7 linked regions of the Macaca mulatta genome follow. The protein of the gene in region 1 binds, or shares a complex with, the protein of each later gene. Links are inferred from orthologs where the notes say so. Each region holds a gene or a part of one and is shown in the gene's direction. Other genes may lie near its edges.

Region 1 (4,025 bases):
ACCGGCTTCGTCCTTCAAAAGTGTTGGGACTACGGGCGTGAGCCATCGCGCCCAGCCGGTCATTTTTTAAAAAGTTCTTTGCATCTCTGCCCCCAGCTCCCTTTCAGGCAGTGGTCCCGTCATGCTTTCCACACTGTTGCAGCAGTTTTAACTGTTGCAGAAATTTTAACAAGTTTCTCTGCTTCTAAACCTTACGTTAGATCCATTTTGTAAATAAATGCTGCTACCTTTTCATTGTGTCATTCTTTACCTATAATTTTGCAGTGGTTCCCCACTATCTTCAGCATAAAATCTAGGCTCCTAAGGCTGAAAGCCAGGGATCCTCACCAAAGGAGCCTGTCTTTTCAACCTCATGTTCTCCTGTCTTAGGTGCACTTAGGTTCCAACTTTGAGTCGTCGCTCATGTCAATAAAAAGTTCACTACTTGATGCTTTTAATTAGGTCAAGTCAGGTGCTTTCCCTTATTTTCCTCCATGACGGGCATTTCCTGCATATAGCACGTTGTCACTTTGATATTTTCTCAATATCCTTGATGGTAAAGTAAGGGAAGGGTTAAAGAGCTGCATTAAAAGTACAGTCTCCTCTCCTAGATATGCATGGTCCTTAGGTCTGTATCTGCTCCTTCCGTAGGGTAGCCACCAGCTACATGTAGCTGTTGAGCACTTGGAATATGGCCACTGGGATTGAGGGACTGGGTTTTTTATTTTAATTCTATTGTGTTTTAGTTAAGTTTAATTTAAATAGCTACATGTGGACATGAGCTACTGTATTGGACAGCTCAGGCCTGTGTTATGATTGTCAAAATGTAATAATCTACAATTAAGGGTTGACAAATAACAGTGCAACAGATTAACATTCCAATCCCCCTCCCCTACACACACAGTATTCGCTAATGGTCCTTTAGCTGAAGATTAAGGGACATAGGGTAGCAGGGACACATGGTCGATGGGAGATGCTCTCTTTTCATTCCTGTTTTTACTTCTGTCCACCCCACCATTCCTCCTCACCCGACATCTTGCACATATTTGCCAGATAGTTTCCTCCAAGCCAGGAGCTGAGCTTTCTTTTTTCTTTTTCTTTGATAGAAAATGCAGCTTTGGCGTTTTTGCTAAGTTTTATGGAGTGCCAGGCCTTGAAGGAGGCATGACGTGTGCCGCATGCCTTCTCAGACTCTGAAAGATGAACTGACTGTTGTCTCTTTCACTGTAGAGCTCTCTTCCTGCCAAGATGTCTATTGGTGTGCCAATTAAAGTGCTGCACGAGGCCGAGGGCCACATTGTGACATGTGAGACGAACACCGGTGAGGTATATCGGGGGAAGCTCATTGAAGCAGAGGACAACATGAACTGCCAGGTATTCTGCTTTGCATGTGAGGCTGTGTGGGAGGAATGGCCCTGTGTCTTGAAGGACAGAAAGGTGTGGGTTGGGGGTCTTCTGTAAATTGTTCTCATTCAGCAGTGATTTCCTGAGTGCCTAACACATACCAGTCAGGTGCTGTTATAGGCTCTGGGGATGTGGGCATGAACAAAACACATAGTCTTGAGGCAGAAAAGCCATTTGGAGATTTGGAATATTTTACTTCGCCTTTTTTGTTTTTTCCATCCCCAAATTTGGGGACCTGTTTGGGAGAAGTTCCTTCAGTAGAATCCTTCAGGTTCAGAGCCATTATCCATTTGCCTCCACTTGCTTTGCAGTTAGGAGAATCTTCTCACATACTGTGTTTGTTTCCCTTTTCTCTTGGAGGAGGAGTCTCATTTGATTATTGCAACTACCTTGTGAGGTAAGCAGGTTTGGTGGTAGTCTTGTCATCCATAAAATAGGGAGAATGAGATTAAAGGACTCATCACTCTGATAGTAAATAATGGAGTAGTTTCTTGATACGGTGTCCTTCTCATGGCGCAGCTTTGCCTTTTGCATAGTCATCTGAATTTTTATAGCATTGTTTTTCAGTTGTATCTTCACACTTTCTTTGTTCTTTAAACCATTGGTTAAGAACTTGGACTTGGGAGTCAGAGAGAGATGTGGGTTTGATTCCTAATTATATGACCTTAGATGTATTAATCACTCAGTTTTCTCATCTGTAAAACGGGAGTGTTATTATTTTGGGTTCTTTGATGTAGATGCCAAGACAGAATTATGCAAGGTATTTATTGGGGGAAATGACAATAAAGGATAAAGGAACAAGGAAACAGTAGTAGGCAGGGAAATTTTCAGTCCGTGATGCTGGTCTGACTGGTGAAACGAGAGGGGAAAGAAGGAGGATTGAGCAGGAAGAACCTTAGACTACAGTGTAGTTTTGAGGAAGTCTCAGCAAGGCAGTGATTGCTCATTAGAAGAATCTAACATGGGGCAGAAATGGGCAGACTGGCACCCCTGGTGTGTTCATTCCATTGGCTGGCAGCCTGGGGAGACAGTCTCTCTCCCCAAGTTGAATGCCATGGTGGACTGCAAAGATGGAGATTGTCGGCTGCCTTCACTCCTCATAGCCTGTTTTCTTTTGGAGGGAGATCTGAGCAGCACACCCTTAAGACTGCCACAGGGATAATATCCACACCCCCAGGACTTTTACAAAGATCAGATGAGCTATATGTGTGCAATAGCTGCTCGGTGCCTCACATACTGTAAGTGTTCAACGTATGGTGTTTACTGCTTTTTTCCAGATGAGAAGGTCAGAGAGGTAAAGCGTCTTACACCACGGTCAGGTATCCTGACCATCTATTGGTTTGCGCCATTCATTTATTTGTGATTTTTCTGTAGCTTTGAGCGTCTATCATCTTCCTGCGAGGTTGACAAGCTTGGTCAGTTCCCTGGATGCAGAGAAGTAGACCTCTGGTGACTCAGGTTTATTGCATCATTGTCAATAGATCAGTTTATCTATTGACAGTAGATAGGTTTATCATCTCTCTTTCATATATCCAGACCTCTGGCTTAAGGCATGCTCATCCACTTTAAGGTACTTTAATTTGGTGAGGAGAATGCAGGACTTGGGTTAGTGAATCTTAATGGGTTTGTCATCTAGCTATATGTATTTGGACAACCTGCTGGGTTTCCAGGGCCTTTGTCATCCCATCCATAACATGAAGGTGTCTAACCAGATAACCTCGGTGGCCATTCAGAGATGCAGTCCACGTGACACAAAGTGCACAGAACTTGGAGTCAGACAGACCTGGAATCAGCTTGCAGCCTGCCACCTAGGGTGACTTGGGGTGAGCTTTGGACCTCCTTCGTCCTCTGGTCCCTCTTCTAAGTCAGGGATAAAAATAGCTCCTTGGCTTCAGAAGGAACCATAGTGCAGAAGAAATGAGTAGATGCATGTCACATGCCTGACCAATGGTGGGGGGGCAGCCACCTGCCTCCCTGCTTGTATTTGTATGCTAGTGCTGCCAATAACAAAGTTTCACAGATTGGGCAGCTTAGACAACACAAATTTGTTTTCTCCTAGATCTGAAGGCTGGAAGTCTGAGATCAAGGTGTTGGCAAGGCTGATTTCTTCTGAGGGATGTGAAGGAAGGATCTGTTCCAGGCCTCTCTCCTTACTTATAGATGACTCTCTTCTCCCTGTGTCTTCACTTGGTCTTCACTCTGTAGTGTTTCTGTCTAGATCTCTTCTTATAAGGATACCAGGCATGTAGAAATAGGGCCCACTCTAATGACTTTTCTTAACATAAAGTTTTTTTTTTAATAAAGTTTTTTTTTTTTTTTTTTGAGATGGAGCCTTGCTCTGTCGCCCAGGCTGGAGTGCAGTGGCGCGATCTTGGCTCACTGCAACCTCCGCCTTCCAGGTTCAAGCGATTCTCCTGCCTCAGCCTCCCAAGTAGCTGAGACTACAGGCACCTGCCACCATGTCAGCTAATTTTTGTATTTTTAGTAGAGACGGGTTTCACCATATTGGCCAGGCTGGTCTCGAACTCCTGACCTTGTGGTCCACTTGTCTCAGCCTCCCAAAGTGCTGGGACTACAGATGTGAGCCACCATGCCCGGCTTGCCTTTTTTTTTTTTTTTTTTTTTTTTGTGAGACAGAGTCT
Region 2 (3,584 bases), on another chromosome or scaffold:
AAAATGTCATCTTGTAGTATTCAAAGATATCTATGTATCTAATAGTCCTACATTAATATTTGTTAGTATAATTATGTGTATTAATTCATCTGATTTTATTTTATTTCTGTCCACTTTATGCGTGATAAACTTCAAAGTGATGTGTTAAATTCTCCCATAACTTTCTCTCTTAGTTTCTCTTTGCATTTCTAATAGCTTTTTTTAATTAAAATGTTTGATTTCTTAATTGACTCAGAGTTTTCCTGATGTATACCTTTATTGTGTATTTAGGCCTTTTTCAGTGTAAAATAATCTTAGTCTCATGTGATATTTTTATTTTGGCCTTGAATTAGTTTTTGCTCTGGATATTGCCACCCACTTTTAATTGGGTGTTCCTGTACTTGTCTGACTTTTTCTTTGCAACCTTTCTGTGTCATCCTGTTCTAGATGTATCTCTTGTACACACTATGTTATTTGAATTTTGTTTTATTACCTTATCTGCATGTTTTTGCCTTTTAAGTCAATAATGTCTTACTCTTTTATAAAATAAATAGATATGGCGAGATTGTTAACATTAATCTCGTGCGGGACAAGAAAACTGGGAAATCCAAAGGGTTCTGTTTCCTCTGCTATGAAGACCAGAGGAGCACAATTCTGGCCGTCGACAATTTTAATGGGATCAAGGTGAGTGTGCTTATTAAGCAGATTGGTTGGACTTTTTTCCCATGTATAGGTGTTTCTTTTTCTACCTGATTCCCACAGACACAAGGGCAGCACTTGTCAGCTTGGTTTGTTGCGGGGGCTGCAGAGATGTGGAGACGCTGGTCAAGAAGAGATTCCAGGAAATAATTCTGTTGGCTCGTGGCCCTGCAGTACTTGCTTCTTTTCCCCATCTGTAAACAAACCATCTCCCCAGGAGCATAGGCACCAGGCCTGCCTCTCATCCAGGCCTCTGTTTTTCACCTTTCTTTTTTTACTGTCTACTATCATTTCTGGTGCACTGGAGGATGAAGAGACTAGCAAACATTGCTCTTCCATATTGTCCTGTGTTGGGAGTTTTGGGCTTCAACATGGCCTCATAATCTAGGACATACCCATGTATGCCTGTCATGTATCTCCAGTGACCTAGCATATTGGGCTCTAGAAATTCTCTAGTTAAAATCCGATGACAGATTCTACAAAAGTAATTTCATCCTGAAATTTTCTCCCCCCAGATCCCTCTTATTTCCACTGTCGTAAGTGAGGCACTGAGTTCTTAGAAGGAGATAGGGCAAGTCAGGCGTATTGATGCTCCATGTGGTTGCTGCACTCATTTAGGAAAAAAGCTGCAGTTGAAATGAACAGTGTCACAGAGTTGGTGTGGGGAGGCTTGAGTTGGAGAGTTTGTCACTGATTCACGAGTATGGGATAGCTGGAGATTATAGAACAGAGTGGAACAAGGTTCTAGGCTTGATGTTTAAGGAAGCCAGCAGTCAGAGGGCGTCATTGTAAAAGGAAGGTTTTCCAAAGTGTTTCAAAATGGAGAAGAGGATACATAACAGAAGCCGCTCAGGCTTCAAGGTAAAAATAAAAATCTGCTCTTGTATTGGAACAATAAAAGCCAAACTTTAAATTTTGAATGGCTTTGCCTAGAGAGTAAGTCTGTATCTGCCTAAAAATAGAATGTTTTTATTTTAAGTGAGGTGTTAATTTTTTGGGGGGCGGGGGGAGGGGGACAGGGTCTCACTCTGTTGTCCTGGTTGGAGTGCAGTGGCGTGGCCTTGGATCACTGCAACCTCTGTCACCTGGGTTCCAGTGATTCTCCTGTCTCAGCCTCCTGAGTAGCTGGGATTATAGGTGTGCACCACCACACCCGGCAAATTTTTGCCATATTGGCCAGGCTGGTCTCGTACTCCTGACCTCAAGTGATCCACCCGTCTCGACCTCCCAGAGTGCTGGGATTACAGGTGTGAGCCACTGCGTCCGACCAGAGGGGTTAATTTTTTGTTGTTGTTCACCTGGAGAGTTGTGATTCGTAGTGCAAGAATCAGTGTGAGCCTATTGTTCCAGTATGGTGGGGCTAGAGCAAGGTGTGAGGGCTGAAGAAAAAAGCAAGTGCCTTTTTCTCGATTCCTTTCTCCCTCCAAACTGTTGGTCTGACTTTGCCTCCTAATTACTGGGTCGAGAAAGCAGTTGTAGCATTAAGCCAGATTTCAAGAATTCCTTCTAGTTGCCAGACCTTCCTAGGGTATGTTTCACTGTAAACTTAGGTTACAGATCAAGGGTAATTCATTATGCATCTAAATCTCAGTCTTCCCTGATGCTTGTGCTCTGAGGTAGTATTTCCTAGTCTTTTTCATTTTATGGCACATACAGAACATGAAGATATTTGCATGGTGCCCTGGAGTAAAGTGATGAGGCTGCTGGTACAATTGCCCCAGGCCTCACCTGGCTGCACTGAGAGGCTGCACTATATATTTTATAATAATAAAATTATATTAACTAAATATTAGTATAAATTAATATTTAGGTGTATATGCTATGACACACCAGTTGGGCAGGTCTGCTTTAGTGACAGAATTTAGCAAGAAGGTAAAGGATGTAGTTCAAATCATGGTTCTCTGTAGCTTGTGTTCAAATAGTTGGCAGTTTGGTATGAGGGCCGTCTTCACTGAAGCGTTGCCTGTCTTGCTTAGATCAAAGGAAGAACTATCCGAGTGGATCATGTGTCTAACTATCGGGCTCCTAAGGACTCGGAAGAAATGGATGATGTGACCAGACAGCTCCAGGAGAAGGGCTGTGGGGCTCGTACCCCCTCACCAAGTTTGTCTGAGAGCTCTGAAGATGAAAAACCAACAAAAAAGCACAAAAAAGGTAAAGCATTAAGACCTAAGAGAAGATTCTGGATGGCCTTAATGTCTGCTCTTCCTTGCATTCATTGATAGTTGAGAATCAACTCAAGTGTGAAAGGGGAAGGTATGGGGAAGCATAGTTTAACTGGGAAAGTGGGGAGTATCAGTGGAAGGCTGGTGCTATGGGCAGAATTGTCTCTCTCCCCAAGTTAATATGGTGAAATCCTAACCCCCAGTGCCTCAGAATGCCACTGCATTTGGAGATAAGGTCTTTGAAGAGGTAACTCAGGATGGGAATTACCTTGTACAGCAACTTGACATATCAAGGGTGACAGACATCCAAGTTGGCTTCTCGAGGCACTCTCCTTGGAGGCCTAGACAGTGGCCCCTTCATGCTGCTGCCAAGGTTGTTCTCTTTATGCACATTCCTCGCCTCCTAGCATGTGAATTTTTTTTTTTTTGAGACAGAGTCTTGCTCTGTCGCCCAGACTGGAGTGTAGTGGCGCGATCTCGGCTCACTGCAAGCTCCACCTCCCGGGATCACGCCATTCTCCTGCCTCAGCCTCCTGAGCAGCTGGGACTAGAGGCACTCGCCATCACACCTGGCTAATTTTTTTTGTATTTTTTTTTAGTAGAGATGGGGTTTCACCGTGTTAGCCAGGATGGTCTCGATCTCCTGACCTCGTGATCCACCCGTCTCGGCCTCCCAAAGTGCTGGGATTACAGGTGTGAACCACCGCGCCCGGCCGTGAATGTTTTTGAACTATAGTGCCT
Region 3 (4,384 bases), on another chromosome or scaffold:
GTTGGGGTATTAGTGAATCCGCCTTGAAGAGAAAAGGGGCTGGGGCCTCAGCCTCCCAAGAGGCCGTCACTGGAGAATGGTCTCCTGCCCTCAGATCTTGGGCGTTTCCACAGCACACTGTGCCCCTCTCTCCTGCCAAATACCTACATACGCTCTTGTAATAGGAGGGCTGGGAACTCCACCCAAAACCATACAAAAAGCCAGTCTGTGTATTTGGACGCCTCCCCAGCACTCAGTCACCGAGTTCCTCCAGTTCCTCTGTTCCAACAGCAGTCGGTCACTCTCACGCAGTTTAAGTGATTTATTGATGTCTCGGCTAAGCTTGCGACAGTTTCAGGACGTTTCAGCCATCAAGGTCTAAGAATCCCTTTCCATTCCCGAGGAGCCCTCAGCCAGCCTCTTCCTTCTTCACCTCCTCACTCTGGCCGCGTAGCCCCTCATGGCGTCCATCTTGGACACCCCTTTGTTCGCGCTCCATGCCGCCCACTTCCTTCTTCAGCTCCTCACTCTGGCCGCCTAGCTCCTCACGGCGTCCATCTTGGACACCCCTTTGTTCGCGCTCCCTGCCCCCCACTTCCTTCTTCTTCAGCTCCTCCACTTTGGCCGCGTAGCTCCTCATGGCGTCCATCTTGGACACCCCTTTGTTCGCGCTCCAAGCCTCCCACTTGGCCCTGGCCTTCACGTCTGAGGCCGGAGGGGCGGGGATGCCGCAGTCGCCCTGGGTGGCCTGTTTGTAGAGGCCGTAGATCAGCAGCTTCTCCGGATCGCTCACAGGACCCTTCAGCTGCTTGAGGGCCGCGCGCGCCAGCTCGAACTCCACTTGGCACATGAGGGGGTGGAGGCGGTGCCTGGTGCTCGAAGCTGGAGGTGGAGAGTTGGAATGGCGGTTACTACTCGATCTCAGGGGGGAACGCAGGCAGGCACACGATGTTTGTGTTTTCTCAAGCACAGGCTGCAAGCTCGGGGTCCCGCGTACTGGCGCCACCCCACCACGTTTGGGCTCACACGGTGCATTTTCTGGGGAGGAACAGCCGTCAAAAGCGTCTAGGATCCGGGCCGCTGCTGTCTGAAGGGGGCGGCGCCGCGCGGCAGGAGCGCGTTGAGGGACTGTGTGGGGGGCGGACTGGACGCGTGGGAGTGGAAGGCTCGCGCGGTGCGGCCGCGCTGGGTAGTGGGCGGCCCGCGGGAGGCGCTCGGTGGCGGTGAGCTGTGTGCGGGGCACGCCCGGGGTTACCGGGTGAGGGTGAATGCGGGGCCGGGGACTCGTGAGCCGGACCCGCTGAGACCCCGGAAGCGGGCCAGGGCAGGGGACGGTGCGGAGGGTCTGGGGAGCGACGCCTGGTACCTGAGGGTGGGTGGGAGGCCTCTGCCGGAAGGCGGCGCTGTGCGCTTGGCGCGCTCGTTCGTGAGGACTGCGCGTGCGCAGGGGAGACTGTGGGCGGGGCCTGAGCGCCGCCGCCGTGGCGCCTGCGCCGTCCATTGTGCTGTGCGTCCCGCGCCGCGTTCGCGTTCTCGGAGTAGAGGGGGCGTTAGCCCCGCTCGGCCGCCGGCGTCGCCGCCATGGACCTAGGTGGGTGTCGCGTCTCCTCAGCCCCGGGCTGCGTCTCGCGATGCGCCACCGGGACGGTGCCGCCCCGTCGCGTCTCCTCCTGCCGCGCACGCTCGCTTGGGCCCGGGCCAAAGCGTCCACCACGTCGGGGCGGGTCTGGGGGTCCCCGGGTGGCCTTGACGGGGGTGGTCCGGGTCCCGCTGCGCGTTGGGCCGGGTCTTGCCCACTCCGCGGGAAAACACCGAGCAGACGTAAAGTGAGAGCCCCTGGAAACGCCCGGGGCCCGGGGCTCGCGCACGTGCTTTGAGAAACGGGCTTTCTCCGAGCACCCCCGGGTGTCCCGGCGGCCTCATTTTCTGAACGGCAACTGCGTTCTTGAGCAAGCGTCTTAGGCTCCAAGTGTCTTACGCTCATCAGGTTTCCTCATCGACAGAGCTGGGGGAATGACAGTGTGTCTCCCCACTGAGTGTTGGGCGACTTTTCATGGAGATCGCCGAGGCACAGTGTCCCGTGCAGGGCTGCGCGGGTCACACCGCGGTTGGGGCGGCTGTGTTCCTGAGGCGTCACTTTCTGAACCTGCGTGCGTCCTGATTCAGAATCTTGCAAGGTCTGGGAGAGGGGGAACCCTGGAACTAGGAGCTCCCTGCTAAGCCTCGACACAGGCTGCTAAGACCAGGAGGCTGTTCTGGGAGAGCTGGGGGTGAGGCACCCCGAGATGTGTCAGCAGTAGTAGGCTGGGGGGAAATGGTCTGTTCCCCGCCCCCAGAGAGCTCTTCAGGAGCGGTATGGCAGAACTCTTAGGGCTTGGAGCCCCTTAGCCGTAATTGCTTCCCAGCCCCACCACATCCAGGCGGGGGCACCCTCAGCAAATCGTTTCTGCGCCTCAGTGTCTTCTTCTCTAAAACCGGAATAATAGTCCTCAAAAGGTGGTTGTGAATCGAAGAGATCTTACATGTGCACCACCTAGCACCGTGCCTGGCATGGAGTAGGCGCATAATAAACCTTAGAAGCGGGCTCTGGTAAGCACTAATTAACCATCCGTGATGAAGCACCGGAGTGTTTTCCAGCTAGTAACTGACTTACTACTTCAAACTGTGGGTACTTACTGCGCCTGGAAGGCAGGTGTTGAGGGCCAAACATCTGCTCAGCTAATCCAATAATGCAATAAAATAAAATTTACAGCGTCAGGAGGGACCATATTTTGGGACCCTGGGAGAGCCTCCTGAGCCAGAAAGAAGGGCCGTAACCCCCAGAGAGGTCCCCTCTGCAGCCTGACCTTCCCTGGGAGTCAGATTCAGCCACTGTGAGCTGAGATGGATTGCCTCCACAAGTGGGTTACATAGTGCTGAACCCTTGTCCTGCTGCTGCTCTCATAAATGGTGGGAAGGGTAAGATGGTCCTTAGTTTCCTGGAGTCAGCGTTTTCTCTGCTGGTGTCTGGCCTGGGAAAATGGGGAATATGAGCTCTCGTGGGCATGAGAGACTGAGGAAGGAGTAGCATCTCTCAATCCTAGGAGAGGGGAGAGGCCTCAGGAATGAGGAATAGGAAGCAGTATTTGTACCCTCGTTTTAGTTTCTAGGCCAAAGGAAACATGCCTGATAAAGGCCTATATCCTTTGATGTTTCTGAGCTGGGGGAGGCAAAGAATAGTGACAAGATTCTGGTCCTGCCAACTATGAAAAGGTTTGGGGAAACCAACATTTACTGAGTACCTAACTAGACTCTGTAACCCGATTCTTATTGTAGCTGTATTTATCTATCATAGCGTCCCGGAGAGATGGGGTCAGGAGATAGCAATACCAACCCCCTAGAAAGGGCTTGACTGGTATATATCACATGATCCTCAAAGTTATAACATGAAGTCTGTATTATCCCCACATATGCAGAAGGAAGGCTTGGAGAAGCAACTTGACCAAGATTACATCCTTTTTTTTTTTTTTTTTTTTGGAGATGGAGGGGGTTCTCATTATGTTACCCCAGCTAGTCTTGAACTCCTGGCCTCAAGGATCCACCTGCCTCAGCCCCGCCAAGTAGCTGGGATTACAAGTGCTAGCCACTGCACGTGGCCAGAATCACATTGTTTTTAAATGGCTGAGCTAGGATTTAAACCCATGTCTGATTAAACATCCCAAGATGCTTTCCATGGTAAGTCTGTGTCAATCGTTAGTTCCCTGAAGGAAGGCTTAATCTAGCACAGTATTTTCTGTATCTACTCCCTGGTTTCTCCCACAGAGCAGGGCCATGAGTAGCTTGTTTTTGACCAGAAGGAGCTGTGGGGTGGACTGTTTACCTGAAAGGTAGAAGAATGTTTGAGGCCTGTTCCCAAGGCAAGGTTGTAAAGGGTGAAGGCAGGGCTTGTCTGATTCCTTCTGTGCCCATTACTCCATGGCTGTGTGATTGCTCTGTGCCCATTACTCCATGGCTGTGTGATTGCTCTGTGCCCATTACCCTGTGGCTGTGTGATTGCTCTGTGCCCATTACTCTGTGGCTGTGTGATTGCTGTGTGCCCGTTACCCTGTGGCTGTCTGATTGTGTGCCCGTTACCCTGTGGCTGTGTGATTGCTTCTGTGCCCGTTACCCTGTGGCTGTATGACTGCTTCTGTGCCCATTATCCTGTGGCTGTGTGATTGCTGTGTGCCTGTTACCCTGTGGCTGTGTGATTGCTTCTGTGCCCGTTACTCTGTGGCTGTGTGATTGCTTCTGTGCCCGTTACCCTGTGGCTGTGTGATTGCTCTGTGCCCTTTACCCTGTGGCTGTATGACTGCTTCTGTGCCCATTACCCTGTGGCTGTGTGATTGCTTCTGTGCCCATTACCCTGTGGCTGTGTGATTGCTTC
Region 4 (4,292 bases), on another chromosome or scaffold:
GACTCCGTGGCGTCTCAGGTCACATTAAGAAATGTGATTTTTATCCTAACTGCAGTGAAATTTTACACAGGATAGTAACACCATTTGATTAATTTTAAAAGATCACTCTCTTGGCTATATGCAGCATTGACTGTAGGATAAAAGATGACGCAGGAAGATACAATAGGAAACAATTACAATCCAGGTAGGAGATGGTGTTGGCCAGGACAAGGGTAATGGCAGTAGAATAAAATTTCGGGTAAGTTTTAAAAGTAGAATTGGTAAGACCTGTAAATGAACCGTATGTGAAAAGTGAAAGAAAAGGAATTTAAGTAGGCACTCTGGGATTTTGGTTTGAGTAACTAGTATGATGATCGTGTCCTTTAGTGAGACGTGTAAGACTGGAGGAGGGATACCTTTAGTAAGAAAAATCAAGATTTTCATCTTGAACTCTATGAGTGAAAGGGCTTTTTCTGCTTTTCTTTCTTCATTTAAAAGTTGCAAAGAATTTAGAGGTAAGAAAGCATTTAAATATTCAACTTTGTGAGTTCTTTATATTTTAAACTAAGTTGGGGAAGTTGAATTTTCATTTGTTTAACAAATATTAATTGAGCAGCTACTATATGTCAAGGTCTATGTGATGAGATACTAAGATTAGCTAAACAATCAAGATCTCTGTTCTCAGGATTTTTTTTTATGGAAGGGAGGAGACAGGATTGGTGGGTTTTTGGTTTTTGGGTTTTCTCCTTTTCGTTCTTATTAAAACTTAACACTTAAGTAGCCATCTTAGTAATTACATCTTGTGCTCCTGGCAGTTGGGCCCACCGTTCTAAACGCTGTCGTAAATATTGACATCTCCCCTCCCACTAAAACTAACGTTTTTTAAATAAAAAATTTTAGCAAACATTACGAATACAACCTTTGCTTTGAAGTGTTAATATTTTTGCAGGAATGTACCTTTGTAAAGATCGTGGTTGCCCCGTACATATTTGTTCTTTCTTCATATCCAATTAAATGAAAACACTAGTTTTTCCGAAGCCCAACTCTCTAGGTTTGTTGGTTCTAGCTCAGGAGAAAGGATGGAAGCAGGAGTCGTTGGATTTAAACAGTTTGGTGTAATCCTTTTCCACGCTCTCTCCCGCTAGCCGGGGACGTGGTGTCGGCTACCCGGGGCTTTCCGTCCACGCAGTACCGGAATGAAGGAGTCTGGGAGGGGGTCGGGGACGGAAAAGACGGAAGAGACATTAAGTAATTGGTTCTTGAAGGTATAAAATGATATTTAGGGTCTACTCTAAGGCACTGATTTCAAACGCCCGCCCCCTGGGCCGTTTCGGCCCCGCCCCTTAGTGCCGTTACGCCGACTTCCACTTCGGCCACTGCGGATTGGTCGTTGCTTCCGCCTCCGAAGCGCTTGGATTTTGCTTCCGGGTCGTAGGCGCTAGCCCTGGGCGCAGAGGTTTCTGGGAGCCCGGAGTCGTAATGGCGTCTGTATGATCTTCGGAGATTGCTGCATCGGACCTCGGCCAGTGTGAGCGGCAGGAGGATAGGTTATCTTCCTCATCCCGGTGGGACGGGAAAGGGCAGTTGGGGTCGGAGTCGGCGGCAGAGTGCAGAGTGCGGGCGGTGGAGGACCTAGAGCAGCGGGCTAGGGGCGAAACGGAGTGCCTGTCAGGCGCGTCCGGAGCTCTCGGGCCGCAGAGGAGATCGCAGCATAAAAGGCAGCGCGCCTACCGCGTAAAGCGAACCCCAGGTCCTCCTTTCACTACCCCTCGCACCCCTGCGGCGCTGGGCACGGGTTAAGGGGCAACGAGTTTCTGGTTATAGCCAAAGACTAGCTCACGAGAGGCCGGAGTGATAATTCCGTTAGTGTGTGGGAAGGGGCGGACTCCCAGCTCCAGATAACCCCGTTTCTTCTTTGTATACATGTCTCTTACTCTTTTTGAAAATTAGGAGAAAGCACTCCCCCCCCCCAAAAAAATCCTCCCAGTTCGCCCACCCTCCCCACACACTTGCTTTTCCGACACTAACAGGGTTTTAATGACTGCATCTGCTAGGCAGTATTCTTGTGACTGCTCCAAGCAGAAAGTAACTTAAGGAATGGGTCCCTGATTTTTGTCATCAGAATCCTCTGGGGCTGAGGTTCCTGTTTTGTTTTTGTTTTTGTTTTTTTTGAACAGTCCTTAAGTTATAACCCACAAACGATCTGATTTATAATATGATGCCTGTTGTAGGAGAAAATTGGCTCAACAAAAGGTTAAGAATTTTTTTCTATGTACCTGTCATTGAAGTTTAACACACTTTCCTTAGTAACTTTTTTCTCAGACACTTAGTAACTTTGTCAGTGATATTTTTTGTTTGTTTTTAGCTTTTGTTTCTACTAGCCTATTTGCTATTGTGTGAAGTTTAGATAAAATGCAAACCTTAGAGAGTCTGGTAGAGTAAGGTTGAGTTGGAAATTTTTAAAACTTAGTCATGGTGGTACTGTATTTTTCAAGGCTTTTGACATGTCAAGTGTCATAATTCTTATAGTAATCCTATGAGGAATATCTCCATTCCACGGATGACAGAAAGTTAAGCCAGGTGACTTGCTCAAGCCCATATAGTCAGAAGGAGAATAGGGATGCAAACTCAGATCTTCATGACAGAATTTTTTGTACTAAGACAAGCCTGAGAAGCCCTATTCGTTGTATGGCCTAAGCCTCATAATTTGTTTTCCTGAAAACTTTTGTTTAAGAAGATTAAGCAGGTTTAGGGGAATGAGTTTTAGAATTTATTTCACTAGTATGGATATTAATACTCTGTAAAATGAGTGTTTGTATTGTTGTAAATAACTTGATTATATTTTTCTTCAAAGCATAAAAGATGACAACAGCAGCCAGGCCAACCTTTGAACCTGCAAGAGGTGGAAGGGGAAAAGGAGAAGGTGATTTGAGCCAACTTTCAAAGCAGTATTCAAGCAGAGACCTACCCTCTCACACAAAGATAAAATACAGGTAGTAAGACTTTCTTTTTTTTCTTTCTTTTTTTTTTTTGTTGAGACAGAGTCTCGCTTTGTCGCCCAGACTGGAGTGCAGTGGCCGGATCTCAGCCCACTGCAAGCTCCACCTCCTGGGTTCACGCCATTCTCCTGCCTCAGCCTCCCGAGTAGCTGGGACTACAGACGCCGGCCACCTGCCCCGGCTAGGTTTTTGTATTTTTTAGTAGAGACGGGGTTTCACCGTGTTAGCCAGGATGGTCTCGATCTCCTGACCTTGTGATCTGCCCATCTCGGCCTCCCAAAGTGCTGGGATTACAGGCTTGAGCCACCGCGCCCAGCCTCTTTTTTTTCTTGTTCACAAAACAAGACCAAATCTGTTAAATGGCATGGTCATGATATAGTAGTATGTTCGAGTTATGTCACTTATCTATTATCATAGGATTAGAATGCAATAGGATGTTTAACACTAAAATTCTGCCCTGTGGTTTTAAAATGCAAAATTCCTACTAACCAGAAATTTTCGTATGTAGATACAACAATAAATAACAGAAATAATAATGCCTCAGAGAGATTATGCACTATCAGCACCAGTCAATATATTAAAAGTATTACTGTTAAGTTCTGAGTTGATAATACCAATAAAAATTAAAGACATTTTAATCACGTAAAGCCTTATTATAGGAAAATGCGTGATTGAATTTGGACTTCTTGAAATATTGGGAACATCACAAGAGTGGCTGTTAGTAACTTTCAGATTAGATTATGATCTTATCTACTTCCCTTTTTTATGCTTGAAGGACAAAGTCTCATTCCTGAATTGTCTTCCATTACCACAGTCGTGTGTGTGTGTATGTGTGTGTGTGTTTAAGTACCATTTTTGCCCTGGTTTGTTTCTACTTTAGACAAACTACTCAGGATGCCCCTGAAGAGGTTCGTAACCGTGACTTCAGGAGAGAGTTGGAAGAAAGAGAGAGAGCTGCTGCAAGAGAGAAAAACAGAGATCGTCCAACCCGAGGTACCAACACTATCCAAGACATTTATCTCTAAAATTATGTTGTTGATAGTTTTTCTTTTATGTAGCAACTGGAAAATATTAACCATTTGTTTGCTTTTACAGATTGATGTGAGCTGTAATACTTTCTTAAGTCATTAGAGATAACAATAACAAATATTTACCAAAGGCTTATTTGCCCAGGCACTGTGGATGTGATTTCACTGTGGATAATGCTTTCAGTGTGGGCTCCTCGTGCCCACAGGTCCCTAAAACATTTTAAGAAATGCAGTATTTGTTTTACTAAGTTAAGTGATTTTTGTTTCCCCTCAGAACATACAACCT
Region 5 (4,246 bases), on another chromosome or scaffold:
AATAAGCTCTCCATTATTTGCTGTAAACGTTTAATCACTCTCAATGTAAAATTTTCTGTGTGGTTTACAGAGTCAGACAGACCTGTTTGAATCCCATATCTGACAATCATTATTTGACCTTAGTCAAAATGGTTAACCAATCCAAGTCTCAGTTTCTTCATCTGCCAAAAGGGAACAATAAATGTATACTTGATACGGACGTGAGGGTGAAATGAGCTAACGTATGTGAAGCCCCTAGCACAGTGTCTGGCATGATAAAATAGGAGCTGTTCCTCTCCATTGGAATAGTAGAGCAGAACTTGTCCCAACCACGCAGTGCAACACTGTGATGGGAAAACAAAGATAAAAGCAGAACAGAGTTCAACACATTAGGAACATTTCAGGGGAGGTTACCTAGAAGGTCCACTACATTCTTCTCAGGACTAAATCCCTCCTGACTCTTGTCTGCACCCCAATCCTGGAAAACTCACCGTCACCCCATATTTGAGTGCTAGTCCAGCCAGGGTGTCTCCGGGCTCCAAATGATGCTCCAGGCGTCTTTCCCTCACTGGGGAGCAGGCCGATTGCACCAGGCTTCCATATGAACGAGCCCGGCTCCCGTGAAGCAGTCCTGACCCCCCTGGCGGGGGCTGTCTAGACGGGGAAGCCATCTCTTCACCCTGCCGACAGCTAGGTTGCAACTAGGGGAGGCCCGACCGAGACTGCGAATGACAGGCCTGAAGTCTGGGAATAGATATTCAGGGGATTCCTTTCCCCTTCTCTCTTCCCCTGTGTCCCCGCCTCCCCAGCACTACGCCACCTGCCCCCTCCCGGTTTCTCCTCCCTCCAAGTCCTTATCCACAAATCTGTCCCTTGAGTATTCAGTCCCTCCCTGATTCGCCCCTAAGCACCCCTCCGACTTTGAACTCCCCCACAACTCCTCGCTACATTGACCTCTGACCTTTGAACTCTAGAAATAATCCTCAACACTCTTTCCTCAGTTTGCCCCCAAGTAGTCTGGCCTCAGGGCGCTCCCACATCCCAGCTCTGCCCGGTCCCGGGGTTTGTTTGCTAGAGCCAGGAACAAATCAGGCCCACCCCAGGTGAACTGTCGCCGCAGACGAAGAGCGTGAGGATTGCGAGAATTTGTAGTACACCTTCCACTCAGAGATCCTCAAAGGTCCGCTCCGCATCAGATAGGTCACACCCTCAAATTTCGGCTCCACATCTAGGTTCTTGTCCCTCTAAACGCCTCAGATCCACCAAGATGCAAGGGCCTGGATCCAGCTGAGCGGCAAGGTCTTTGAGGAAAAGACTTCATTTCCCAAAAGGCGTCGCGTCTGCGGAGTCGCACGGCACCATAGGAAATGCAGTTCCCTCCACGCGCCAGAGAGTGGATATCCGGATGGCGCAATGCATGCGTGGAAGTGCATTCCCGGAAGTACGGGGGCCGACAGGAAGACAAAGAGAAAAGAGAAGGCGCTGTCCCGCTCTTGCTACGGTGGCCTAGAGGAGTGGCGAAACCGGAACAAGAAAATTTATCACTTCTGGGACTCACAGTCGTGATGTCTTTCAAGAGGGAAGGAGACGATTGGAGTCAACTCAATGTGCTCAAAGTAAGCGTGAGCGGAGAGGATCTGCAGCCTCTTCAGTCGCTCTCTGAAGGTTGGGAAGGAGCTTTGTTTCATTGCTCTGGCAACAACTCGGGGGTGCAGGAGAGAACCAGGCGACTTAGAGCTGTGTAGTGACTCCTTTTTCGGTCTATGATCGCTGTTCTCCCCAGGGTCCTTATGTCCTTATTCCGTTTGACTCCTCATTTCTATCATTTAACTTCCATCCCTCTCTCCTATCCTGCTGATCCGTCCGGATTTCTTCCCCTACTCCCTGCAGAAAAGAAGAGTCGGGGACCTCCTCGCCAGTTACATCCCAGAGGATGAGGCGCTGATGCTTCGGGATGGACGGTAAGAGCGAGGAGTGGCTCAAGCCTGAGGGTTTTGCGGTTAGAGGCTCAATAGCTGTGTTGCCCAGGCTGTCCTTGAACTCTAGGGCTCAAGTGATCCTGCCTTCTCAGCGTCGCGATTAGCTGGGATTACAGGCGCACGCCACCACGCCCGGCTTCAACAAACTTTTGTTATTAATTAGGACAGCAGAAGTATCTAGGATTCTTTGGCGGCTAGTGAGGACTGGAAGAAGTGGAGATTGGGTCACCAGGGAGTTGGGTTTTGCAAAGACTGCTAGGACAGGGTGGGACTTACGGCAGGGACAGGCCCAACCCTCTTCCCCTGGACCAGTTATCCTCTTCTCTACCCCTGCTCAGCTTTGCTTGTGCCATCTGCCCCCATCGACCGGTACTGGACACCCTGGCCATGCTGACTGCCCACCGTGCAGGCAAGAAACATCTGTCCAGTAAGTTCGGGGGAAGACAGGGGATGGGGAATAAATCGAAATCTCTGCACACCAGCCTTGGTGCTATGCTTTTAATTCTGTTTCCCTTTCTCTTCAGGCTTGCAGCTTTTCTATGGCAAGAAGCAGCCGGGAAAGGAAAGGAAGCAGAATCCAAGACATCAGAATGAATTGAGGAGGGAAGAAACCAAAGCTGAGGTAATCAGAGAGTGGAGAGTGTGTTCTAGGCAAGACCCTGCTGCACACACCAGGCTGGAAGGGCAGAGGGCTGAAGGCTCTGACTCTGTCTCCCATCTTCTTACCAGGCTCCTCTGCTAACCCAGACACGACTTATCACCCAGAGTGCTCTGCACAGAGCTCCCCACTATAACAGTTGCTGCCGCCGGAAGTACAGGTATGGGAGGGGAAAGCCAGAGGTAGGAAGGCTCGGAAGGAGATAGAGGGCTCTGAAAGTGTTTTCCAGTCTGTATTCTGAGGAATACTAGCGTTCTGGAGATGTTACTTAGTGTTTCAAGAAAAGGAGAATTTTGGCCGGGCACGGTGGCTCACACCGGTAATCCCAGCACTTTTGGAGGCTTAGGCGGTGGATCACTTGAGATCAGGAGTTCAAGACCAGCCTGGCCAACATGGTGAAACCCCGTCTCTACCAAAAATATAAAAAATTAGCTGGGTGTGTGGTGTGTGCCTGTAATCCCAGCCACTCAAGAGGCCGAGGTGGAAGAATTGCTTGAATCCGGGAGGCAGAGGTTGCTGTGAGCCAGGATCATACCACTTCACTCCAGCCTAGGTGACAGAGTGAGACTCCATCTCAAAAGAAAAAGAAAAGGAGAATTTTGTGATTTTTAAATAAAGTTTGGGAAATGGCACTTTGTAATTCTACTTGAAGAGTAACAGTTTTAGGCCGGGCGCAGTGGCTCAAGCCTGTAATCCCAGCACTTTGGGAGGCCGAGACGGGTGGATCGCGAGGTCAGAAGATCGAGACCATCCTGGCTAACACGGTGAAACCCCGTCTCTACTAAAAAATACAAAAAACTAGCCGGGTGAGGTGGCGGGCGCCTGTATCCCAGCTACTCGGGAGGCTGAGGCAGGAGAATGGCGTAAACCCGGGAGGCGGAGCTTGCAGTGAGCTGAGATCTGGCCACTGCACCCCAGCCTGGGTGACAGAGCAAGACTCCATCTCAGAAAAAAAAAAAAAAAAAAAAGAGTAACAGTTTTAAAAGCTATACAAAGTCTTAAGAATTAAAAAAAAAACTTGTAAAATTTAAAGCTAGCCTTTCCCAAATTCATGATTCTAAAATCCTTTGTATGCAGAACTTACTAATATCTTGAAAAATATAGTTTAAGAAACACTGTTTTAAGAGGTTGGGAGTCATAGGAGAGTTGGCCCTTTCCCTTACTGCTTTTACAGACTATTCTTCTCTACCTAGACCAGAAGCCCCTGGTCCCTCTGTCTCCCTTTCTCCTGTGCCACCCTCAGAGGTCGAACTCCAAAGCGGGAAGATCAGTAGGGAACCTGAACCTGGGGCTGGCCCACAGGCCGAGGAGTCAGCAACTGTCTCAGCCCCTGCACCCATGAGCCCCACAAGAAGACGAGCCCTGGACCATTATCTCACCCTTCGAAGGTGAGTGTGCCTAATCAGTTTCCTCAGATTTTCTTTTCTCTCTGACCCTTCTTGTTTCAAAGCTTTTTTTTTTTTTTTTTTTTTTTTTTTTGAGACGGAGTCTCGCTCTGTCACCAGGCTGGAGTGCAGTGGTGTGATCTCATCTCAGCTCACTGCAACCTCCGCCTCCCAGGTTCAAGCGATTCCCCTGCCTCAACCTCTCGAGTAGCTGGGATTACAAGCATGTGCCACCATGCCTGGCT
Region 6 (4,091 bases), on another chromosome or scaffold:
GGTGCCATCACGGCTCACTGCAGCCTCCAACTCCTGGGCTCAAGTGATCCTCCTATCTCTGCTGGGACCACAGGCACGAGCCACCAGCCCCTGCAAAATTTAATTTTTGTAGAGACAGAGTCTTGCTATGTTGGGCAGGTTGGTCTGGAACTCCTGGCTTCAAGCGATTTTCCTGCCTTGGCCTCCCAAAGGGCCGGAATTACAGGCTGCAGCCTCCGTGTTCGGCTGTAAATAGCTACTTTTGACAGCATAACGGTCTCTGGTCAGGTGTGATTACATTCTTGGGAGGAGAAGAAAGAAACAATTATTCCTTTTGGTAGTCTGTATCTTAGGCAGATAAAGACCTGCGCTTTGGGAGAGATGGTGGGCACCGGGAAGGAACATTGAGGCTTCTTCAGTTCGGCATGTCAGTGCGCCATATTTTGGGGTTTCGATTTCTGAGCCCCAACAGCATTGCAAAAAGTTCAGGAAATAGAAGAGGAAAAGCTAATGATTTGCCCACGGGTTATCATCTCTGATTGCATTTCCATGTCTTCCTCCCTTCTATTTCCAAATGTAAATGTAATTATGGTTTGCGCACAATTTTGTATCCTGCTTTGTCGTTAACAAGTCAGGGTTTTTAAAGTTTGTAAATGGTTTACTAATGGCCACATAACACCCATTAATTTGGCTAACTTCCCTACTGCTGGGTATTTACATTGTTTCCACGTTTTGTAATTACCAGTAATGTGGCAACAAACAGTCTTGAGAGGTTTGCTTTTTCCCAGTTTTTTGTTGTTATTGTTGTTTGTTTGTTTTTGAGACATCTCGCTCTGTCGCCCAGGCTGGAGTGCAGTGGTGCGATCTGCGCTCACTGCAACCTGCGCCTCCCGGGTTCAAGCGATTATCTTGCCTCATTCTCCCGAGTAGCTGGGATTACAGGCGCGCGCCACCACACCTGGCTAATTTTTGTATTTTTAGTAGAGACGAGGTTTTGCCATGTTGGCCAGGCTGTTCTCGAACTCTTGACTTCAGGTGATCCGCCAGCCTCGGCCTCCCAAAGTTCTGGGACTACAGGCGAGAGTCACCACGCCCAGCCAGAAGTTTGTTTTTGAAACTTGAAACTCCCGCCACCCAAGCCGGTCACTGTGGCTACGCCCACTAGGGAGTAGTCACGTGTTTAATATCTGCCGCGAGGATTTCTGGGAGGTTGGGCACCCCGGAAGCGGAAGTCCAGGAGTCAAACTCGTCATTTCCTTCAGCTAGAGGAGCTCAACGGATCTGTTTTCTTTCGCTCAGCCAAAATCACAGAATGAAGGCGGTGAAGAGCGAACGGGAGCGAGGGAGCCGGCGAAGACACCGGGACGGGGACATGGTGCTGCCGGCGGGGGTGGTGGTGAAGCAGGAGCGTCTCAGCCCAGAAGTCGCACCTCCCGCCCACCGCCGTCCGGACCACTCCGGCGGTAGCCCGTCTCCGCCGACCAGCGAGCCGGGCCGCCCGGGCCACCGCGGGAACCGAGCCCGAGGAGTTAGCCGGTAAGTGGGGGAGCAGCCCAGGATGGACGTTGGGTTGGGCTCATTCAGAAAGGCGGGCAGGGCTAGCATCCGAAACAGGTTTTGAATGCTGGGCGCAGCAGCCCGGACTTAATCCTGAGGGACTGTTGAGAGTGATCCAGTCGTGCTTGTGTTATGCTTGCTCTGTCACTTGCCTTATAGCTCGGTGTTCAACGCCTAATGACACACCGGCAGGATCCCACTCCTTCATTCTTGTGTCCCCAGCACTTCGAAGAGTGTAGCCCAACAGATAGCACTGATAATCTGTTAAATTGGAATGAGATTTTCCCCATCCCGCCCACAAATGGAGTGTGGGCCTTGTCTTTCCAGTTACCTGCCAGAAAGGTTTTCACATCGAGGTCTAGGCGAGCTACCTAACAGAAACTGGAAAAATAAAAATAAAAAAAGTTACTTCTTGCTAGACTCATTTATTTATGCATTCATTCACCATAGTTTTACTGAGTGCCTATTTTAAGTGTGAAAGACTGCCCTAGGTATTGGGGCTGCAAGGGCGATTCAGTTAGATGATCTTCACCAGTGCCAAATTGGCCGTGCTCTAACCCTGAGACAGATGATTAAAAAAAAAAAAAAGTTTCAATAACAAGTATTATTGATAGGTTATAACAGTAATGTGATAGAGATTGGAGAGAAGAGGGAGGAGGCCTCTTTAAAGAGGTGCCATTTGAGTCCAGACCTGAGTGATAGGAATGATTCAACCTCTTAAAGATCCAGGCAGAGGAAACAACATCTGCAAAGAACTTGAAGTAGAATGAATTATGATTGAAATGGGAAAAAGCCAGTGTCGGTGGAGTATAGTGGTCAAGAAGGTGGGTGGTAGGAATGAGATGGCATAGGGAGGAAGTAGAACCACAGGATGGAGGGATTGTTCCTGATGCTAGGGGTGTTGGTAGTGAGGGATAAAGAATCAAGGGTGACTTCCGGATGGTGATGCCAGTTAGCAAGATGGCAAGGAGTAGGAGAGGAAAGGTTTTTGAAGGGTTGGAAATTAAGAGTTTTGTTACCTAAGTGAGAAGGTTCAGTAGACAGTTGTCTATGTGAGTATGGAATGCAAGGGAGACGTTAGAGCTAGGAAAATGAACCTCGTGACTCCTTTAATGTGATTGGCAGATACCTTCACAAAAGCAGTGTTTGTGTTAGTAGGTAAGCCTGATACTGGAAGCTAATTTTTATGGGGGAAGGGAAATTGCGATAAAATCCTGTGTACCATGCTCTGTATAGGTCCCCACCCAAAAAGAAAAACAAGTCCTCAGGGAGAAGAAGCAAGTCTCCTCGGAGTAAGAGAAACCGAAGTCCTCACTACTCAACAGTCAAAGTGAAGCAGGTAAGTGGATTGGGGTGTTTTGATGTTGGGTCCAAATTGAGAGCCTTTTCCTATCACAGCTAAAGAGGGCTGTGTGTGTGTGTATTGTGTGTGTGCGCGTGTGTGCACGCACACTCGCCTACATCTCTACCTGTACCTCCAATGGGCTTTTCTGAAAACTGGGTGTATTTCTTTTTTCTGCTTGTTTGCTTAAATTAAACTTTTTATTTTGAGATTATTATTGGTTCACATATGGTTGTCAGAAATAATTCAGGGAGATATACTCTTCCTGGTTTCTCCCAGTGGTAGCATCTATTCATAATAGAACTGTGGTACAATATCATCATCAGAATATTGACATCGATATAGTCAAGATAACATTTCCTTCACCACAAGGAATACCTCATGTTGTCCTTTTGTAGCCACACACACTTATCTCCCACTTTTATCCTTCCTTAACTTCTGTCAACTTCTAATCTGTTCTTCATTTCTATAATTCTGTCATTTCAAGAATGTTATGTAAGTGGAATCATACAGTATGTAACCTTTAGGATTGTCTTTTCTCACTCAGCAGAATCCTTTGGAGATTGATTCAGGTTGCAGCTCTCAGTAGTTTGTTCTATTTCATTGCTGAGTGGTATCCATATGGCATGGATTTAGCCACTTACTCATTAAAGAACATCTGGGTTGTTTCCATTTTTTGGCTATTACACATAAAGCTGCTATATACACATTTGTGTACGGGTTTTTATGTGAACATAAGAGTTCATTTCTCTGGAGTGCAATTGCTGGATTGTACGGTAGTTGCAGGTTTAATTCTTTTAAGAAATTGCCAGACTGTTTTCCAGAGTGGCTGTATTAGTTTCCTAGGGCCACCATAATGAAATACCATAGAGTAGGTGGCTTAAACAACAGAAATTCATTTTCCTGTAGTTCTGGGGCTAAAAGTCAAAAATTAGGGTGTTAGCAGGTTTGGATTCTCCTGAAAAAAATCCTCTTTCCTTGGCTTGCAGATGGCTACCTCTTTGCTGTATCCTTAAATGATCTTTTTTCTGTCCTGGTGTCTTTTCTCAGCCATATTGGATTAGGGCCCTGCCCTCATTTTTTAACTTAATCAGCTCTTTAAAGACCTTATCTCCAAAAACAGTTATTAATACATTCTGAGGTACTTGGGTTTGGTACTTTAACTTGCTAATTTTGGAGAGTACAGTTTAGTCCGTAACAGTGGCTGTACCAT
Region 7 (3,584 bases), on another chromosome or scaffold:
GTAGTATATAAAAATCAGGCTGGGTGCAGTAGCTCATGCCTGTAATTCCAGCACTTTGGGAAGCCAAGGGGGGCGGATCATTTGAGGTCAAGAGTTTGAGACCAGCCTGGCCAATGGTGAAACCCCGTCTCTACTAAAATTACAAAAAGTAGCCAGGCATGGTGGCACACACCTGTAATCCCAGCTACTCAAGAGGCTGAGGCAGGAGAATTGCCTGAACCTGGGAGGTGGAGGTTGCAGTGAGCTGAGATCGCACCAGTGCGCTCTAGCCTGGGCGACCAAGTGAGACTCTGTCTCAAAAAAAAAAATAAATAAATAAATTGTCTGTAAAAGATGCATTAATCAAGAATAGGTCAGTGATTTCTTATCTGCCAACATAGATCTAAGAAGAAAAAGAGTTAATGTCATAGTGAAGATATTAAGAACAATAGCAAGTTCAAGTAAAAGCTAAAAATTGTGTTTGTTATTAATTTGATGGCACCAATATCATGTTCTTTGAATGAGTAAACAGTATCTCTTAAAATATGGGAGTTTTTGAAAAATTCATTTTTATACTAATGGAATAGATTGTCTGCATTTTCCTTTCATCTTTTACCAAGTCATTGTGTCATTCTTGAAGAAAATATTTGAACTGTTTGCTTTAATTTCCAGATGATAATGGCTTTAGAAATTTGGAATAGTTACTTTAAAAGTCTCAGATATCACTTTTAGACTGTTTTATATTTTACCATAGTAAGACTTCTCATGATTTTAGGTACTTCGTCTAGTCGGAAACATTCTTTTATTCTTTTATTTAGTGTAACAGAATAGTTGTTTTTGACAATTCCTTCCTAACTTGAGATTTTTGCTTCATTATTTTCAGGTAATACAGTTATCTTGTTACATTTTTCAATTAGGTCATTTTGAATACAGTATACAGAGTTGTGATCCATTGAGTTCAGATCTCTTGAGAATTATTTATTAAGGAAAAAATCTCCCTTTGTGAAAAGCATTTATGATATAACATGGCTACATTTATAAATGACTTCAATATCAGGTTGGAAGGAAATTCTGTTAACTAAGAGACTAATATATTTGTTAAGTAGCCCTATCGTGGTGAGAAAACCACCTTAGAAAGACTTGTTCCTGCTCTTTTGAAAACTGGCAAATAGAATCAGTGCCATTTCAGAGAAGATTCAACTTAGGACTTTAAAAAGACATGGTAAAATTACATGACACAATAATAGTAGATTATTTGAATTAAAAAACAAGAAGAAAGCAATTGTTTAATGACATTTAGAATGAGATGGGAAAGAGTAATAATTGAAGACTCTGCAATGGCTCAAAGGTAGTGTTCTGGGAGAAGTAAGAGAAGATTTCAAAAGCTTAGCTGACTTTGGGATGAGAGTAGGGAAATAATTTAGAAATCCATTCCCCCTTGGGTACTCTTCCTTTGGGTATAACTAAGCAGCTTTCCACAAAATAGGGTATATTTCTGTATGAGTATATTTAGAAAATACAGTCTAGTGAATTCAAGTTTAATAACATTGAAAGAATAGTAAGTGCTCAAAAATCAATTAAGCAAAATGTCTGCATTTTTTATTAGAAGTTGTACGGGACCTTGCGGGTCAAGTTGAATAACTGCATATGACGGGTCTTATAACTGAGGACATTCACTAGATCTTTTTTACATTTCAGGATGAATTTCATTCACGGTTGCGTTTTAATCGGAGAGGCCTGGTTGCCATGGCAAATGCTGGTTCTCATGATAATGGCAGCCAGTTTTTCTTCACACTGGGTCGAGCGGATGAACTTAACAATAAGCATACCATCTTTGGAAAGGTTAGTGTCCAGTGATTTTAAACCTGTGGTTCAGTTTTTGGTTTTATGTTATTCCTTAGGCTTCTAAGATACATATGATTAACTTATCTAAGAGTTACCTTCATCAAAACATTCCATAGGATATGTTTATTCTTTACAAAAATGATGGAATATATTCCTATTATAGTGCACTATGAGGGAGCAGCTAAATTCTTTTTTGCATCTTTCAATTCACTCATTAGTTGTGACTTTAGTGTATTTCTTCTTTAAAACCATAGTAATGGTATGAGCTAATAATGTGCCACTTAGCCAGTATTGATTTTACATTTTCGGATTTTGATTTTACATTTAGGTAATAACATTTAGTAGTTTAAAGTTTAGTTTCTTGGGGGGCGGAGCAAGATGGCCGAATAGGAGCAGCTCCAGTCTCCAACTCCCAGCGCGAGCGACACAGAAGACCGGTGATTTCTGCATTTTCAACTGAGGTACTGGGTTCATCTCACTGGGGAGTGCCGGACGATCGGTGCTGGTCAGCTGCTGCAGCCCGACCAGTGAGAGCTGAAGCAGGGCGAGGTATTGCCTCACCTGGGAAGCGCAAGGGGGAAGGGAGTCCCTTTTCCTAGCCAGGGGAACTGAGACACACAACACCTGGAAAATCGGGTAACTCCCACCCCAATACTGCGCTTTAAGCAAACAGGCACACCAGGAGATCATATCCCACACCTGGCCGGGAGGGTCCCACACCCACGGAGCCTCCCTCATTGCTAGCGCAGCAGTCTGTGATCTACCAGCAAGGCAGCAGTGAGGCTGGGGGAGGGGCGCCCGCCATTGCTGAGGCTTAAGTAGGTAAACAAAGCTGCTGGGAAGCTGGAACTGGGTGGAGCTCACAGCAGCTCAAGGAAACCTGCCTGTCTCTGTAGACTCCACCTCTGGGAACAGGGCACAGTAAACAAACGCAGCAGACACCTCTGCAGACACAAACGACTCTGTCTGACAGGTTTGAAGAGAGCAGTGGATCTCCCAACACGGAGGTTGAGATCTGAGAAGGGACAGACTCCCTGCTCAAGTGGGTCCCTGACACCTGAGTAGCCTAACTGGGAGACATCCCCCACTAGGGGCAGTCTGACATCCCACACCTCACAGGGAGGAGTACACCCCTGAGAGGAAGCTTCCAAAGCAAGAATCAGACAGGTACACTCGCTGTTCAGAAATATTCTATCTTCTGCAGCCTCTGCTGCTGATACCCAGGCAAACAGGGTCTGGAGTGGACCTCAAGCAATCTCCAACAGACCTACAGCTGAGCGTCCTGACTGTTAGAAGGAAAACTATCAAACAGGAAGGACACCTACACCAAAACCCCATCAGTACATCACCATCATCAAAGACCAGAGGCAGATAAAACCACAAAGATGGGGAAAAAGCAGGGCAGAAAAGCTGGAAATTCAAAAAATAAGAGCGCATCTCCCCCGGCAAAGGAGCGCAGCTCATCGCCAGCAACGGATCAAAGCTGGACGGAGAATGACTTTGACGAGATGAGAGAAGAAGGCTTCAGTCCATCAAATTTCTCAGAGCTAAAGGAGGAATTACGTACCCAGCGCAAAGAAACTAAAAATCTTGAAAAAAAAGTGGAAGAATTGATGGCTAGAGTAATTAATGCAGAGAAGGTCCTAAACGAAATGAAAGAGATGAAAACCATGACACGAGAAATACGTGACAAATGCACAAGCTTCAGTAACCGACTCGATCAACTGGAAGAAAGAGTATCAGCGATTGAGGATCAAATG

What was found.
Region 2: SNRPD3 (region 1) and RBMX2 share a complex: the UniProt entries of both Homo sapiens proteins name them as parts of the minor spliceosome. The link is inferred for Macaca mulatta from reciprocal best matches to the Homo sapiens genes SNRPD3 and RBMX2.
Region 3: SNRPD3 (region 1) and GEMIN4 share a complex: the UniProt entries of both Homo sapiens proteins name them as parts of the SMN-Sm complex. The link is inferred for Macaca mulatta from reciprocal best matches to the Homo sapiens genes SNRPD3 and GEMIN4.
Region 4: SNRPD3 (region 1) and CWC15 share a complex: the UniProt entries of both Homo sapiens proteins name them as parts of the minor spliceosome. The link is inferred for Macaca mulatta from reciprocal best matches to the Homo sapiens genes SNRPD3 and CWC15.
Region 5: SNRPD3 (region 1) and SCNM1 share a complex: the UniProt entries of both Homo sapiens proteins name them as parts of the minor spliceosome. The link is inferred for Macaca mulatta from reciprocal best matches to the Homo sapiens genes SNRPD3 and SCNM1.
Region 6: SNRPD3 (region 1) and SNIP1 share a complex: the UniProt entries of both Homo sapiens proteins name them as parts of the minor spliceosome. The link is inferred for Macaca mulatta from reciprocal best matches to the Homo sapiens genes SNRPD3 and SNIP1.
Region 7: SNRPD3 (region 1) and CWC27 share a complex: the UniProt entries of both Homo sapiens proteins name them as parts of the minor spliceosome. The link is inferred for Macaca mulatta from reciprocal best matches to the Homo sapiens genes SNRPD3 and CWC27.

Annotation. Positions count from the first base shown.
Region 1 is NC_133415.1:28,770,539-28,774,563, reverse strand, and holds the start of SNRPD3 (small nuclear ribonucleoprotein Sm D3), read left to right. Parts: upstream 1-1,209; 5' UTR 1,210-1,227; coding exon 1,228-1,353; intron 1,354-4,025. UniProt on the Homo sapiens protein: Plays a role in pre-mRNA splicing as a core component of the spliceosomal U1, U2, U4 and U5 small nuclear ribonucleoproteins (snRNPs), the building blocks of the spliceosome.
Region 2 is NC_133426.1:136,871,304-136,874,887, forward strand, and holds part of RBMX2 (RNA-binding motif protein, X-linked 2), read left to right. Parts: intron 1-533; coding exon 534-663; intron 664-2,654; coding exon 2,655-2,832; intron 2,833-3,584. UniProt on the Homo sapiens protein: Involved in pre-mRNA splicing as component of the activated spliceosome. As a component of the minor spliceosome, involved in the splicing of U12-type introns in pre-mRNAs.
Region 3 is NC_133421.1:2,295,156-2,299,539, reverse strand, and holds the start of GEMIN4 (gem-associated protein 4), read left to right. Parts: upstream 1-1,560; coding exon 1,561-1,570; coding exon of another isoform or gene 1,571-1,963; exon of another isoform or gene 1,964-3,418; intron 3,419-3,432; exon of another isoform or gene 3,433-3,693; intron 3,694-4,384. Other genes in the region: uncharacterized protein LOC721152, read right to left, coding at 389-1,963. UniProt on the Homo sapiens protein: The SMN complex catalyzes the assembly of small nuclear ribonucleoproteins (snRNPs), the building blocks of the spliceosome, and thereby plays an important role in the splicing of cellular pre-mRNAs.
Region 4 is NC_133419.1:95,762,658-95,766,949, reverse strand, and holds the start of CWC15 (spliceosome-associated protein CWC15 homolog), read left to right. Parts: upstream 1-1,414; 5' UTR 1,415-1,507; exon of another isoform or gene 1,508-1,526; intron 1,527-2,833; 5' UTR 2,834-2,841; coding exon 2,842-2,972; intron 2,973-3,858; coding exon 3,859-3,971; intron 3,972-4,280; coding exon 4,281-4,292. UniProt on the Homo sapiens protein: Involved in pre-mRNA splicing as component of the spliceosome. Component of the PRP19-CDC5L complex that forms an integral part of the spliceosome and is required for activating pre-mRNA splicing.
Region 5 is NC_133406.1:115,922,656-115,926,901, reverse strand, and holds the start of SCNM1 (sodium channel modifier 1), read left to right. Parts: upstream 1-1,430; 5' UTR 1,431-1,544; coding exon 1,545-1,595; exon of another isoform or gene 1,596-1,644; intron 1,645-1,869; coding exon 1,870-1,940; intron 1,941-2,296; coding exon 2,297-2,385; intron 2,386-2,482; coding exon 2,483-2,580; intron 2,581-2,687; coding exon 2,688-2,776; intron 2,777-3,809; coding exon 3,810-4,004; intron 4,005-4,246. Other genes in the region: LYSMD1 (lysM and putative peptidoglycan-binding domain-containing protein 1), read right to left, coding at 471-650. UniProt on the Homo sapiens protein: As a component of the minor spliceosome, involved in the splicing of U12-type introns in pre-mRNAs. Plays a role in the regulation of primary cilia length and Hedgehog signaling.
Region 6 is NC_133406.1:203,243,338-203,247,428, forward strand, and holds the start of SNIP1 (smad nuclear-interacting protein 1), read left to right. Parts: upstream 1-1,248; 5' UTR 1,249-1,291; coding exon 1,292-1,515; intron 1,516-2,772; coding exon 2,773-2,875; intron 2,876-4,091. UniProt on the Homo sapiens protein: Required for pre-mRNA splicing as component of the spliceosome. As a component of the minor spliceosome, involved in the splicing of U12-type introns in pre-mRNAs. Down-regulates NF-kappa-B signaling by competing with RELA for CREBBP/EP300 binding.
Region 7 is NC_133411.1:72,828,053-72,831,636, forward strand, and holds part of CWC27 (spliceosome-associated protein CWC27 homolog), read left to right. Parts: intron 1-1,677; coding exon 1,678-1,821; intron 1,822-3,584. UniProt on the Homo sapiens protein: As part of the spliceosome, plays a role in pre-mRNA splicing. Probable inactive PPIase with no peptidyl-prolyl cis-trans isomerase activity. As a component of the minor spliceosome, involved in the splicing of U12-type introns in pre-mRNAs.